2 linked regions of the Styela clava genome follow. The protein of the gene in region 1 interacts with the protein of each later gene in a biochemical or structural test. Links are inferred from orthologs where the notes say so. Each region holds a gene or a part of one and is shown in the gene's direction. Other genes may lie near its edges.

The links. The genes of interacting proteins can lie anywhere in the genome.
Region 2: the proteins of tudor domain-containing protein 3-like (region 1) and DNA topoisomerase 3-beta-1-like form a complex in vitro, tested with the Homo sapiens proteins (2 studies listed by BioGRID and IntAct, with this or other methods). The link is inferred for Styela clava from reciprocal best matches to the Homo sapiens genes TDRD3 and TOP3B.

What each region holds. Positions count from the first base shown.
Region 1 is NC_135255.1:10,328,931-10,336,472, reverse strand, and holds the start of tudor domain-containing protein 3-like, read left to right. Parts: upstream 1-4,491; 5' UTR 4,492-4,500; coding exon 4,501-6,907; intron 6,908-7,542. UniProt on the Homo sapiens protein: Scaffolding protein that specifically recognizes and binds dimethylarginine-containing proteins. Plays a role in the regulation of translation of target mRNAs by binding Arg/Gly-rich motifs (GAR) in dimethylarginine-containing proteins.
Region 2 is NC_135257.1:17,699,160-17,706,374, reverse strand, and holds the start of DNA topoisomerase 3-beta-1-like, read left to right. Parts: upstream 1-3,923; 5' UTR 3,924-3,949; coding exon 3,950-4,076; intron 4,077-5,406; coding exon 5,407-5,575; intron 5,576-6,635; coding exon 6,636-6,756; intron 6,757-7,215. Other genes in the region: synaptosomal-associated protein 25-like, read left to right, coding at 368-997. UniProt on the Homo sapiens protein: Releases the supercoiling and torsional tension of DNA introduced during the DNA replication and transcription by transiently cleaving and rejoining one strand of the DNA duplex.

The sequences.
Region 1 (7,542 bases):
TTCTAAAATAAAAAAGGCTTAGGTTCTAGTTGTGTGGAAAACTTCAGGTAAACTTCTTCAACATAAAAGAATCAAATCGAATGCCTCTTGTGCGGAAGGGTGTGCTTCTAGGCTTTGAAAATTGACTAAATTAGCTTTTTTCGCTATACGTAATTTTCCAAATAAGGTCATTTTCGCTATGAGAATACCCCAGATTCTAAAATAAAAAAGGCTTAGGTTCTAGTTGTGTGGCAAACTTCAGGTAAACTTCTTTAACATAAAATAATCAAATCGAATGCCTCTTGTACGGAAGGGTGTGCTGCTAGGCTTTGAAAATTGACTAAATTAGCTTTTTTCGCTATACGTAATTTTTCCAATTAAGGCCATTTTCGCCATAAGAATAACGTAGATTATAAATTAAAAAAGGCTTAGGTTCTAGTTGTAGAAAAAACTTCAGGTAAACCTCTTTAACATAAAAGAATCAAATCGAATGCCTCTTGTGCGGAAGGGTGTGCTGCTAGGCTTTGAAAATTGACTAAATAAGCTCATTTCGCTATATGTAATTTTTCCAAATAAGGCCATTTTCGCTATGAGAATACCCCAGATTCTAAAATAAAAAAGGCTTAGGTTCTAGTTGTGTGGCAAACTTCAGGTAAACCTCTTTAACATGAAATAATCAAATCGAATGCCTCTTGTGCGGAAGGGTGTGCTGCTAGGCTTTGAAAATTGACTAAATTAGCTTTTTTCGCTATACGTAATTTTTCAAAATAAGGCCATTTTCGCCATAAGAATAACGTAGATTCTAAAATAAAAAAGGCTTAGGTTCTAGTTGTGTGAAAAACTTCAGATAAACCTCTTTAACATGAAATAATCAAATCGAATGCCTCTTGTGCGGAAGAGTGTGCTGCTAGGCTTTGAAAATGGACTACATTAGCTTTTTTCGCTATACCTAATTTTTCCAAATAAGGCCATTTTCGCTATGAGAATACCCCAGATTCTAAAATAAAAAAGGCTTAGGTTCTAGTTGTGTAAAAAACTTCTGGTAATCTTCTTTAATGGGAAATAATCAAAAAATCGAATGCCTCTTGTGGGGAAGGGTGTGCAGCTGGGCTTTGAAAATTGACTAAATTAGCTTATTTCGCTATATGTAATTTTTCCAAATAAGGCCATTTTCGCCATGAGAAAAACGTAGATTCTAAAATAAAAAAGGCTTAGGTTCTAGTTGTGTGGAAAACTTCAGGTGAACCTCTTTAATGGGAAATAATCAAACGAATGCCTCTCGTGCGGAAGGGTGTGCTGCTAGGCTTTTAAAAATGACTAAATAAGCTTATTTCGCTATATGTAATTTTTCCAAATAAGGCCATTTTCGCTATGAGAATACCCCAGATTCTAAAATAAAAAAGGCTTAGGTTCTAGTTGTGTGGCAAACTTCAGGTAAACCTCTTTAACATGAAATAATCAAATCGAATGCCTCTTGTGCGGAAGGGTGTGCTGCTAGGCTTTCAAAATTGACTAAATTAGCTTTTTTCGCTATGCGTAATTTTTCTAATTAGGGCCATTTTCGCCATGAGAAAAACGTAGATTCTAAAATAAAAAAGGCTTAGGTTCTAGTTGTGTGGAAAACTTCAGGTGAACCTCTTTAATGGGAAATAATCAAATCGAATGCCTCTCGTGCGGAAGGGTGTGCTGCTAGGCTTTTAAAATTGACTAAATAAGCTTTTTTCGCTATAAGTAATTTTTCCAATTAAGGCCATTTTCGCCATGAGAATAACGTAGATTCAAAAATAAAAAAGGCTTAGGTTCTAGTTGTGTAAAAAACTTCAAGTAAACCTCTTTAACATGAAATAATCAAATCAAATGCCTCTTGTGCGGAAAGGTGTGCTGCTAGGCTTTGAAAATTGACTAAATTAGCTTTTTACGCTATACCTAATTTTTCCAATTAAGGCCATTTTCGCCATGAGAAAAACGTAGATTTCAAACTAAAAAAGGCTTAGGTTCTAGTTGTGCAAAAAATTTCAGGTAAACCTCTTTAACATAAAATAATCAAATCAAATGCCTCTTGTGCTGAAGGGTGTGCTGCTAGGCTTTGAAATTTGACTAAATTAGCTTTTTTCGCTCTACGTAATTTTTCCAAAAAAGGCCATTTTCGCTATGAGAATACCCCAGATTCTAAAATAAAAAAGGCTTAGGTTCTAGTTGTGTGGAAAACTTCAGGTAAACTTCTTCAACATAAAAGAATCAAATCGAATGCCTCTTGTGCGGAAGGGTGTGCTTCTAGGCTTTGAAAATTGACTAAATTAGCTTTTTTCGCTATACGTAATTTTCCAAATAAGGTCATTTTCGCTATGAGAATACCCCAGATTCTAAAATAAAAAAGGCTTAGGTTCTAGTTGTGTGGCAAACTTCAGGTAAACTTCTTTAACATAAAATAATCAAATCGAATGCCTCTTGTACGGAAGGGTGTGCTGCTAGGCTTTGAAAATTGACTAAATTAGCTTTTTTCGCTATACGTAATTTTTCCAATTAAGGCCATTTTCGCCATAAGAATAACGTAGATTATAAATTAAAAAAGGCTTAGGTTCTAGTTGTAGAAAAAACTTCAGATAAACCTCTTTAACATAAAAGAATCAAATCGAATGCCTCTTGTGCGGAAGGGTGTGCTGCTAGGCTTTGAAAATTGACTAAATAAGCTCATTTCGCTATATGTAATTTTTCCAAATAAGGCCATTTTCGCTATGAGAATACCCCAGATTCTAAAATAAAAAAGGCTTAGGTTCTAGTTGTGTGGCAAACTTCAGGTAAACCTCTTTAACATGAAATAATCAAATCGAATGCCTCTTGTGCGGAAGGGTGTGCTGCTAGGCTTTGAAAATTGACTAAATTAGCTTTTTTCGCTATACGTAATTTTTCAAAATAAGGCCATTTTCGCCATAAGAATAACGTAGATTCTAAAATAAAAAAGGCTTAGGTTCTAGTTGTGTGAAAAACTTCAGATAAACCTCTTTAACGTGAAATAATCAAATCGAATGCCTCTTGTGCGGAAGAGTGTGCTGCTAGGCTTTGAAAATGGACTACATTAGCTTTTTTCGCTATACCTAATTTTTCCAAATAAGGCCATTTTCGCTATGAGAATACCCCAGATTCTAAAATAAAAAAGGCTTAGGTTCTAGTTGTGTAAAAAACTTCTGGTAATCTTCTTTAATTGGAAATAATCAAATCGAATGCCTCTTGTGGGGAAGGGTGTGCAGCTGGGCTTTGAAAATTGACTAAATTATCTTTTGTCGATATACGTAATTTTTTATAAACAAGGCCATATTCGCTATGAGAATACCCTTGAATTTAAAATGAAAAAGGCTTAGGTTCTAGTTGAGTGAAAAACTTTTATTATTTATTTTTTGGTTATATACTTGTTATTTTTTCTAAATTATAAACATATTTCCCATAATAGTATGCTAATTTTGTTTATCTTCATTTTTTCGGGTGTAGATTCTGACACGCCTCTATTTCTGCCGTAAATATTAACCTTTCCGCTTCGCCGCACACAAAGGTCAAATTGCTACTAGCTTCACAGTGGTCATAATTGCTGTGCCATAAAGTGAACCGTTAAGATTGGGATTAATTATGAATTAATTGGAAAAACCCTACTGACCTATCAGCAACGTTTAGGGAATTAGGGCACGTGACATACCGTACTGTCGGACTGTTATGATCGTCAATACTGCAATAAGACTTCCCTGTTTAGGCTGTTTATAGCTTTTTTGACATGTTACAGCAGTACAGCCAAATAAGTAATTGACCACCTTTCAAGTTGAACGAACCAGTGGTACCAACGGCTGGTCCACATACTGCAGTACTGCCATACTAGATTTCTGCTGGTCTGGGATGAATATCTTACATGGATATGCTTATTGTTATTCAGCCACCAGTCACCTTTAGTGACCGAATATACAAAATAAGGTCTGAAGGTTGGCGGGTGATTGAGATTTTGACATGCAGACATGTATGATATTGATTGCCCTGCGATGTCTTGGCGGTGTTATTACACTTTCAGATTTCCATTCGTTGCAAAATATATAAGCTGTGGTAATTCTCGCGAGTTTCTAAAATATACACATTATGACATATACCAGTATACGTTTTTATCCCTCTCGCATTCATATGGAAGTGAACAATTTTAGTATTGCAATGTGATCATATTTCTGTATTTAATCTAATAATCTCCAAACAAAAAGAAAAAATATGGGACGGACGTGTTGTATTTCATACATAATTTTAATCGCTTTACGCAGTCAAAAACAAAACGACAACAAATAAAAAAGTTTGGGAATCACTGGTTTACAGTATTGTATAAACAAGTAAACTGATCAATACAACTTCAGGAAAACCTTTTGCAATTTTATATTAAATGATTAGATTATGGAAGTATAGTAAAATTTTAAAAACGTCAACATGGTATAAATGTGATGTACTCTAATACTCATTGCCAGATTGCGGTGGTGGTGTATATGTCCAGATACCTGTATGTCAAAAAACTCAATGATACATTCCTTTTTCAGACTTTTTAGCTTTAGTCAACTTGAAGATTGTGTCTCATCTTTTTCAATGGAAAGTATTGGAAAGATTCTTGAAGACGAAGGTTGGCATTTGAAGGAATCTGCCTTGAATGACCTTCAGAAAAATTTATCAGATAAAGAAGAACTGACATACGGGAAAATAAAAAAATTGGCACTCGATACTGATCTATCTAATATCGGATACAAATATATACAAGAAAAGATTTCTTCTTGTACAGACAATTTATTAGTTGGACCAGTAGTATTGCAGGTTAGCAAAATCAGAAATATCACTGCTCCTAAAGAAAATGAATATTCTAATATTGCTCCTCGTATGCTGAGGGTAACTTTAACCGACGGAGTCTCCACAATCACAGGTATAGAATATGAACATATTGAACAAATTTCTCTCAAGACTGCACCAGGAACCAAAATCAGACTCATTGGAAGTATCGCCGTTACTCATGGCCAATTACAATTAGAGCCTGGCAGTGTAAAAATTTTAGGTGGCAGAGTTGAAAAGCTCTATACAAGATGGAAAATAGCCCTCGATGCTGCAGGGCTCAGTAGGGCGGGAATTGTTGCAGAGGGGGCACCACCTCCTTTTGTAGCGTTTGGAAAAAATATTCAGAAATATAACAAAAGTAATAAATCTTTAAAAGGAGATGCAAAGCATGACGAAGCTGAAGATGATGAATTCAATGAACAACGTAAAGCTGCCATTGCAGAAGTAGCCAAAGCATCTGTTCAGGTTTCGAAAACTTTTTCATCTGATGTAAGAGCAAACTTCGGCAAAAGGCCGACATCGGCCCCGAGTTATGAAGATAACAAATCCTCATCTGATCCAGTTCATAAAGATAGCAGACCGAAGTTTAGCAAGCAACCTTCATCAAATGAAGAGAAAACCAATTCACAAAATAAAAGCGCTAGAATTTATCGAGAGTTGTCAACTCAGAGTGGTGAAAACGTACACTTGAAAACAGTGAACGAATTTGTAGAAATGGGATTCAAGAGAGATGATGTCGTTTTCTTCATGCAAAAATGCGATAACGACTTTGAAAGCACTATGGAGATGTTAGTCGTAAATGCTAATGCAGAAGATTCTCAGAAAGAACGACAAAGAGGACATAGAGGACGGGGTGATAACAGAGGATTTCGTAGGGGTAACCGTGGAAGAGGAAGTGGCCGCTCATTTCATGGAGAAGAGGAAAATGAGCATCCAATGTCACAACCCTCCAATTCAGCAACATTGTTTGATTTTGTAGAATCTAAAATATCTGTTCCAGAACCGAGTAAGAAACAAAATGGAAACGATTATTACAAAAAATCCTATCAAAATGAAGCCTCAAACCAACGTAATGATAACAAAAATTGGTACCAAGAGTCAAACAGAGGCTATAATTCAAGATCACGTGGCGGAAACCGAAGGTTCAATGAGCGGGGGCGTGGCAGAGGCGGTGGTCGAATGGAGAGGAGGGAAGATAGAAGAGAAAATGATTCATATAAAAGCAGAGGGTATAATAAATGGGAGAGTCAATCAGATAATCCTCAAAAATTTAAAACTTATGATAAAAGATTGAATGATTCGAAAACTGATGAACCATATGGAAAGGGAAGAAGTGGAAAGATTGGACGAGAGAGCGATATTACCCCGAAAATTGATTCACAAATGACTGAAAAAGATAGTCGAAATGAACGAATGGAGAGTGGAAAACGATACAGCTCTACACGTGCTTCTGAAAATCCCAGACGATCTCAAGATACTAGAAATGAAGGAAATACACAATCTCGAGAATCTGATAAAAATCGTACCTCAGGACATCAGAATCAACACAGAGTTAACGAAAGGCATGCATCAGACATTCCGCCTCGTTTTAAAAAAGGCAACAGTTTTGTTAAAAATGAGAATATCAAGCATACAGCTATACCCCACTTTCCACAAAATACAATGAAAGGGGAGAGCAATTCCAAACTTTCTGGAGAAGCCAGCGAATTTAACATAAACCAAAACTTTAGAGATTTATCAATAAATCCTCCACCATCTCAAAGGGGCCCAACCACTTTCGGTACGGCAGCGCCTAATACTGATACTTCAATTCATATCAACATTAATCAATCGACTCCCTCACATGACGTTATTGTGAAGTCTCATTCAAATGGCCCCCAGGTTCATGTTTCTCTTCCCAAGTTCTATGTTGGAAGCCACTGTTTAGCAAGGTATTGGGAAGATCGGTGCTATTATAGAGCAATCATCACTGATTTACATCCAACTGCTCCAACCGCTGTTGTTCAATTCCTAGGTTTTGGAAATTATGAAGAAGTACAATTATTCGATATGAAGCCTTTCGATGATGATAAAACATCATTTCATGGAGGTGAGTGAAAATTTATTCCTTTGTTTATTTAATATTCATAATATACACAGGCGCTTCAGAAATGTATATGTACGTAACTATTTTGCTTGCCTACTTTACATCAAGTAGTGTAAAGGGATTGAAACCTATGGTCAGGAGGGTGTATATTCACTTGGCTAACACAGACAGTCCTGAACTCCTAATAGAACCAAAATAAGGAAAGTCGGAATAAAATTATGGCTTAACCCTATCCTGGTACACATACTAAGGGGGTAAGCTACCTATACGCCAGGTGCCATTATCATTTTTACTGCAATTTTGGCATACACAAGTATATGAAATTGATGTTAAAGTTATTAAACTAAAATATTTAGTTTGACTGTACGAGTGATTTTTCTTAAATATAAATATTTTATTAGAATGACAACAGTTTGTGTATAGCATGATGGCTAGATAGATTGCTATTATGGAGAAAAAAATAACAAAATTTTCAGCCAAACGGCTATTGAGATAGGATTACTAGCTTCGGAACTCTCAATGTTTGAGTTTAAAACAAAAGAGGTTCCAGCTCGTTCTTCTATATAAAATTTTTCTAATAGGCAGCAATCGCATTAAAATGGTTTACATTTTTTGTGTATTATCAAGTCTTCTATTGC
Region 2 (7,215 bases), on another chromosome or scaffold:
CTTACTTCTTTTAGCCACCCCATTTATTTTTAAATTCTATACGTTTCAAACATTTCTACTTAGAATTATTTTTTTTCTCTCCTGGTTCTGTATCAGCAGGTATACACTAATAGCAGAATATATTCAGGTGTTTCAATCGTTTGTTATTTGATTTTGCGCAATTCATGCACAATCAGAGCGCGACAGTTGTATATGGGATGAGTGAGACAACATGTGTATCTAATTTAGGATATATGGAGTGTCATTGTTGCATTGTTATCCTATAAAATATTTCTCAATGTATTTTTAAAACTTCAACTTTCATACCAAATAGCAGATTGTATTCTAATTTACATATTTAATTGTGTAGTCATCAACAAAATAAACTATGGCCGCAGATGATGACATGAGAGGCGAGCTCGCCAACATGCAGATGAGGGCGAACCAAATTACTGATGAGTCTCTGGAAAGTACTCGTCGTATGGTTGGTCTGATGGAAGAAACACAAGATGCTGGAATCAGAACCTTAGTTATGCTTGATGAACAAGGAGAACAACTCGATAGGATCGATGAAGGAATGGATCAAATTAATCAAGACATGAAACAAGCGGAAAAAAATTTAGAAGGATTGGAAAAGTGTTGTGGATTATGTGTTTGCCCATGGAATAGAGCTAAAAATTTTGAAAAAGGTGACGAATATAAAAAAGCATTCAGTAAAAATCAAGATAAAGTTGTCAGCGACCAACCCGGGGCCAGGATTCAGGATGAGAGAACGATGGCACAAGTTGGTGGTGGATACGTCAAGAGGGTAACAAACGATGCACGAGAAGATGAGATGGAAGAGAATTTGACACAAGTTGCTGGAGTTATCGGTAATCTGAAGCACATGGCTTTAGATATGGGCAATGAAATCTCATCACAAAACAACCAAATTGATAGAATCAACGCAAAAGCTGATGCAAACAAGGGCAGAATTGATTCCGCTAACCAACGGGCTGCAAAAATACTCAACAACTGAGTATATATTCTTCATTATTATTGATAGGTCAATTCAGATTGTTTAAATAGTATCATATGATCCGGGACTCCCCAGTCAGCTCCTCAGAAGAATAAATATAAATGGAGGAGCTTGCTAAATCTACTTGTGAATAATTATAAAACTAATCAGCATTGTATTTCTGAAGCAGCACTTGAGTGTTTCTGATATTTTTCAAACTGATATTATTAGGCAAAGATTCTACGTTTGACTTGGAAGATTTTAAACAAAGATGATTGAAATTTTTTTATCTGTTCGGTAATTCATAGCAAAATTCTGCTTATTTATTTTAGCTTTTGTCTGTCAAATGTAAAATTCTGACTAAAGTTAAGAAAATGTTACACCTCTTTGAACAGTAATTGATAATCTTTATTCATTTCTTTTTAATTATAGTTGTTCTGTAGCGATTTTTTTCATGAAATCAGTAATATTGAAAAACGATTTCCATTATGCACGTTTAACAGTGCATTAATGTGAGTATTATGGGGTTGTGCAATATTGCATGCTTACATTGACGATGACCTGGTTTGGTTATTGTTGTTGATGAAAATTTTCTAATATCCCAAATCATAACCTATAGTACATTTATGGGTTCAGCCTCTTCTTATATGTTCTTGAGAATGACAAATGTTATGGGTGGTAGTTTGAAATCTAAAATTAGTAGAGCGCAACATTATGCTTGAGTATGAATCCAACCCTTATTATTCCATAGAGACAAAATTCTCACGATAAAAGACAAGAAATAATCTCAAATAGTTTTCTATATTGCCAATCAATAAAACATATTTTGATATTATAAGTCAGATATCATTAATTGGCGTCATTAATATTCAAAATTATAGTATTTTTGAATATGAAAATTCCCAACGTTAATTTGTTATATACAATATGAGTTTGATTGAATTTTTCTTCGAAGCCTTGACAACCCAACTGCATCTTGATATCCAGTTCAATCAAATGTTGCATTATAATATTTTAATTCATATGTTTGATTCTGATTGGAATTCCTTCATGAATATTTTATTAAGGTCAATGCATTATACTCGACACTCTACAGACTATTCATTTGTTTGTAAAATGATTTATTTACGAAATGACATTTTTTGACTTTTCCAATCGATTCGGGTTCATCGTCAAAACAGTCAAAGTATTTTTATCAAAGATTGAAAATTGATTTTTCATGTTGAAACTTTTGTTGCTATGTTAAGTAAGTCTGCAACTATTGGAATGATAATGACATTCTGTGACATTTTTCATCTTCAGACCATCTTTCATTTTGAGAATAAGGTGACTTTCACGTTTACACTGGTGATTGGTTGTTCATTTTCGACATTTTGATTACTCAACTTTTTCATGCCGATATTTGGAATAAAATTAGTTGTAATGATTTGAATTAAAATCATAGTTGAATAAGCACGGAGATCTTTGGTACATTTTGGATTTTTAAAACATTGGAAATGACTATCTTAAACTTGTAAATTTGTGAATTATATTAAGAGTATAAACTATATAGAATTTTTTAAATTTATGAGGTAGTGGTTAACAATTTTCGATAATTTAGTGAAAGCTTTTTAGTGACATGCCATGCAGCGAATTCATGAAAAGATTAAATTAAATAAAATCTAGATATACCATGATTTGGCTGGGATAGAGAAAATTTTAGGACACTATCATCATTTATCTTATTTTACAAATTTGTCTTATTGCTAAGAGTAGAATTATCTTCACATTGGTGGCCACCCAATGTTCAATAAATGTTTTCATACCGCTCTAAGGTTATAAGCTCTCCGTAATTATTTATTACACCAAGTTATGTTTCTAGTAAACTCAAGGACACTCTCTTCATCCAACACCACCATTCAATTAGGTTCATCGATTTCTTATCATTTTGTGTAGGCTGTTTACTTCGTAAGACCTATTATTAATATTTGTGTTCTTTTATGATATGTACAGTATGTATCGATTATTTTTTGATCTAAGTATCTAATGTGTTGTTTAACTTATATATTTTCTGAGATGGATATTGAATGTGAATTGTTGAAAACTTTATAATAATCCTGAATTTTTTTCTGGTATGTCATTATGTCCACGTTCCTTGATATAAACACCTTAAACAAGAATTCTTTTTCCCAAGAATGTGTGGCATGTTTTGAATAAAAAGAAAATTGGTTAATATGTTTTATACCAAAACAGCAAATTTTGGAACACTTTTTTTTAGGTCTTTTTTTATTTTCAATTTATCCAATGATTTTATTTTGTAATATTCTACCTATGTAATAAAATGATTATTTCAGCAATTGTCATGACAATGAATCCTAAATATAGTAAACCTGATAATATACCGCAGTGAGAATTAATCGATGAAATATCTACTTGGCCATCTTGTCGATTATTGAAATCTGCCAAACTTTACAGTGAAGATTTCTCAATTGTATTGATTTAATACTATAAAGTTACACCCTTTGCAAGCACAGTCTTGTCTTGTTATCTGTTTGTTAAAGCATTAATAACTACAATACTCTTGAAGTTCATACTTCTATAGGGACTTGTAACAGCTGTCTACTCATAAATATTTATTATTCGATCTTTACGCCCGCCCAATGTTTGTTTCTTGTAGTATAATATGTTACTCGTCTGCTTCTGCAATGTCACGCCCCATCTGTTGTTTTTAAACACCAAAGTTTATGTTTTCAATGTTATTATTATTATTAAGATTGTTTTCCCCATATAGCGACTGCGTTATTTTCATTCTTTTGTTCAATTTACTGCTATGGTTTTAATCGTTTTCATCTGATATGTATGTATTATATTCATTTGAAATATTTACTGTACTAATGAATAAATTTATATTTAAGACTAGAAAAGTATAGACAGTTTGTCACTTCCACCTCCAGGATTACATATCTCTAATCCATAGTTTCCCATGAATTAAGTATGAGGACAGTGTTAATGGTTGCGGAAAAGCCGTCTCTGGCTCAATCCATAGCGAAGATTTTATCTCATGGTTCATGTAATACGAGGAAAAGCATCAGTGGATCTTGCCCTGTGCATGAATATGATGGTATGACATATTTTTTGATCTATTACTCATTTAGTTTCTAACAAATTGAAATTATGACATGGTTTTAATCTTGTATGAACTGGTAACGAGTCGACATAATTACTATAGTACTTATTTTTATTTTCTTGTTAAATAATGTCTTCTCTAAATTGGGTTCATATATTTTCCTTATACCTTTTTTAACATGATGTCAATTTTTTTTTTTATAATCCTCATCGCCGCCCAATTCTCTGCTCAACAGTCTTTTAGACACAGTTAGTAATTAGGTGACTTTTACTATTTTTTAAAAAGAATTCTGAAAACATTATAAAGTACTAATTTCAAATGGGGAATATTGAATCAACTTCAAATGAGACCATATTCTTTAGAAGTTTATAGGCCTATATGAGTTTGAATTTTAAAATACTGGAATTTTGAAATAAACATTGATGCCCTGTACGTGAATATGAGGGTATGACGTAATTTTGCTTTATTACTCATCTAGTTTCTAACAAATTGAAATTGTGACATGGTTTTAATCTTGATGAACTGTAAATGAGTCAAAATAGGTACTGTAGCATTTAATTTTGTATTCTTATTAAATAATATATCCTTTAAATAAGACTTATGTAGTTTTCTTCCAATGAATGTACTGACACTATGGCAATTGTTTTCTTTTTATAAACCATATCTTCATCGCTCTGAACAATGCTTTGCCCTTTAGCCTTTTAGACACAATGAGTAATTGAGTTGGTCTGATGAATCCTACCGTTTTTTTTTAATTGACTTAGTTGAGTTTCATACATATTATCTACTATGCCCACAACGAGTGATGGCTAAAATCTTTTAATTCTATCTTCTGAATACAATCTAAAATAATTTTTTTTTATCGACGTTTTGTAGATTAGATTCGATTTTCTGGATGAGTCTATGTATATTCAATGAGTTTCAATGATAATTCGACTAAAAAAGGGCCTTCCGGAAGGCCCTATTTTGGGTCATTTTTGCAAAAAATTCTCACTGCACATATAGTTGAAAAACTTTTTAGCTTTTCAGCTTTGAATAGTTCATTAATAAAGGTTATTTACAGACACGTGCCTACCGGAAGGCCCTTTGTCGAATTATCATTTAAATAAAAATACTTGATTTCGAAATAAACAACTGTTTTAGTATTTTTTATAATCAAAATTTTACTCTGAACAAAACTCATACCTGTTATTTAAAATATCAAATATAATAAAATTTGAATCAATTCTACTATTATATCATCTTGGATATCTAACTGCCAGTTATTTCAACTAAGTAGTTTATGGATTAATGTAAAGGCATTGACTGTATTAAATTTTTTCAGATAAATTTTATGGCGAAAGAGTCAGCTTCAAAGTCACGTCTGTGTGTGGCCATGTCATGTCATTGGATTTTGAAGGAAAATATAATAACTGGGAAAAAGTTGATCCTGGGGAATTATTTTCTGCTCCAACTATGAAAAAAGAAGCAAATCCCAAATTAAATATTATCAAGTATGAATAATTTTATGAATCATTTTAGCCAAAAATGGAATTTTAATATACTAAAATAGTTTATAAATAATAAATGGGAAAATTTTATCGCAACGGACTCGCCATAGTTTGCTTTGAGAATTCTATTCTGGTTAATAATGGAAGTGTCTCATGTTTGACGAGTCACGACAGATTTTGCTCTAGACAAGGCTTCATACAAGAATGATGATATTATTCAATTTTTAACCAATCTCTGTTATTCTCATTATTTGGCTGACCAACCAGCTGTATGATCTATAACAGGGTGTGCAACAGGCGGGCCGCGATCCACAACCCGACCCACCAAGCCATTTAGTGCGCCCCTTGTCACTCCAATTTCATTCCATAAAACATAAAATCCCAATTCGACAGTTCATGCTTATTGGAAATGGGTAAAAATACATAATTTTTTTTACTCTCGTCACCGTGTTAAATTTTGCATTGGGATAATTTTTCAATTTGTTGTGTGCATGGAAAAACTATTTTCATTTGTGTGTCCAAACTAGATGTCTTGGTCTTATGGCTCACCGACAAAAAATGTTGCACACTTCCGATCTATTTATAACTTGTGATGCTTATTGTTACTGATAGTGATTAAATTATTGATCGTACTTTTAAAATAGGATTTTGTAAGTATGGTATGTCCTTATTTGAATAATTTAGAATTATATAATTCTGTTCTGCAGTGATCTTTGCTGTCGAGCATTATATAAAGTAGGTCTATTTTGCTTTGAAAAAATGCAGCATCGGAGGGGGGGAACATATTAACATCTTAAGAAAAACAATTGTCACATGGAATTATGCTATCAGTTGTGGTTACGCCAGAGAACTGCCAATCCTTCCTCCATGCCATTGAACTGGCGTTTAACAATGTAATGGAACTTCGACTCAACCCTCAAAATTATCCCCTGGTATATATGAATCATCTAAGAGATATTATAATTATTAATAGGTAATAAAAATCTTATGTCTAAAATCACAAGTTCATTCTTTCTAAAGTGTCCCATTAAATCTTTAATTTTAAATATCGTAACTAATTTAGGTTTCTGGAAAAAGAAGCACGAGGCGTAGATGCGATTGTGCTATGGTTAGATTGTGATAAGGAAGGAGAAAATATCTGCTTTGAAGTTTTAGACATTGTGGAACCAATCATGAATAAAAGTGTGAGGCTTATATATTTTTTTCATTCATTTATGCTTCATATTATTTGGTAAGATTTATGTAAATAGTGTCCATGCCGCCTTAATTTTTTTTAAATTGCAAAGGGAGTTTATAGATACCACATTCCACATATTGTTTTGGCCCTCACAGATGTATTAATGGAGTAAAAATACTTGAACAATTACTGATTAAAAACATCAAACCTAGTTAAGTTATATTGAGAATTGACTTCATAACAAAATCAAACTTGGTTAATAGACTTTATGGAACCCCTTTATGTTAGAATAGGTAGAATGTAAAGCTGAATAATTATAGTTAGGTGGGAAAATACAAAAAATAATGCCTTGAAATAAACCTTTGAATATATTTTTTGTTGAATCTTTTTAATGGAAAAGAGAAAAATAGGGAAAAAAGTAATTATACTGGGGCTAATTTTAGGCAAATTCTCTTGAGAAAACAAT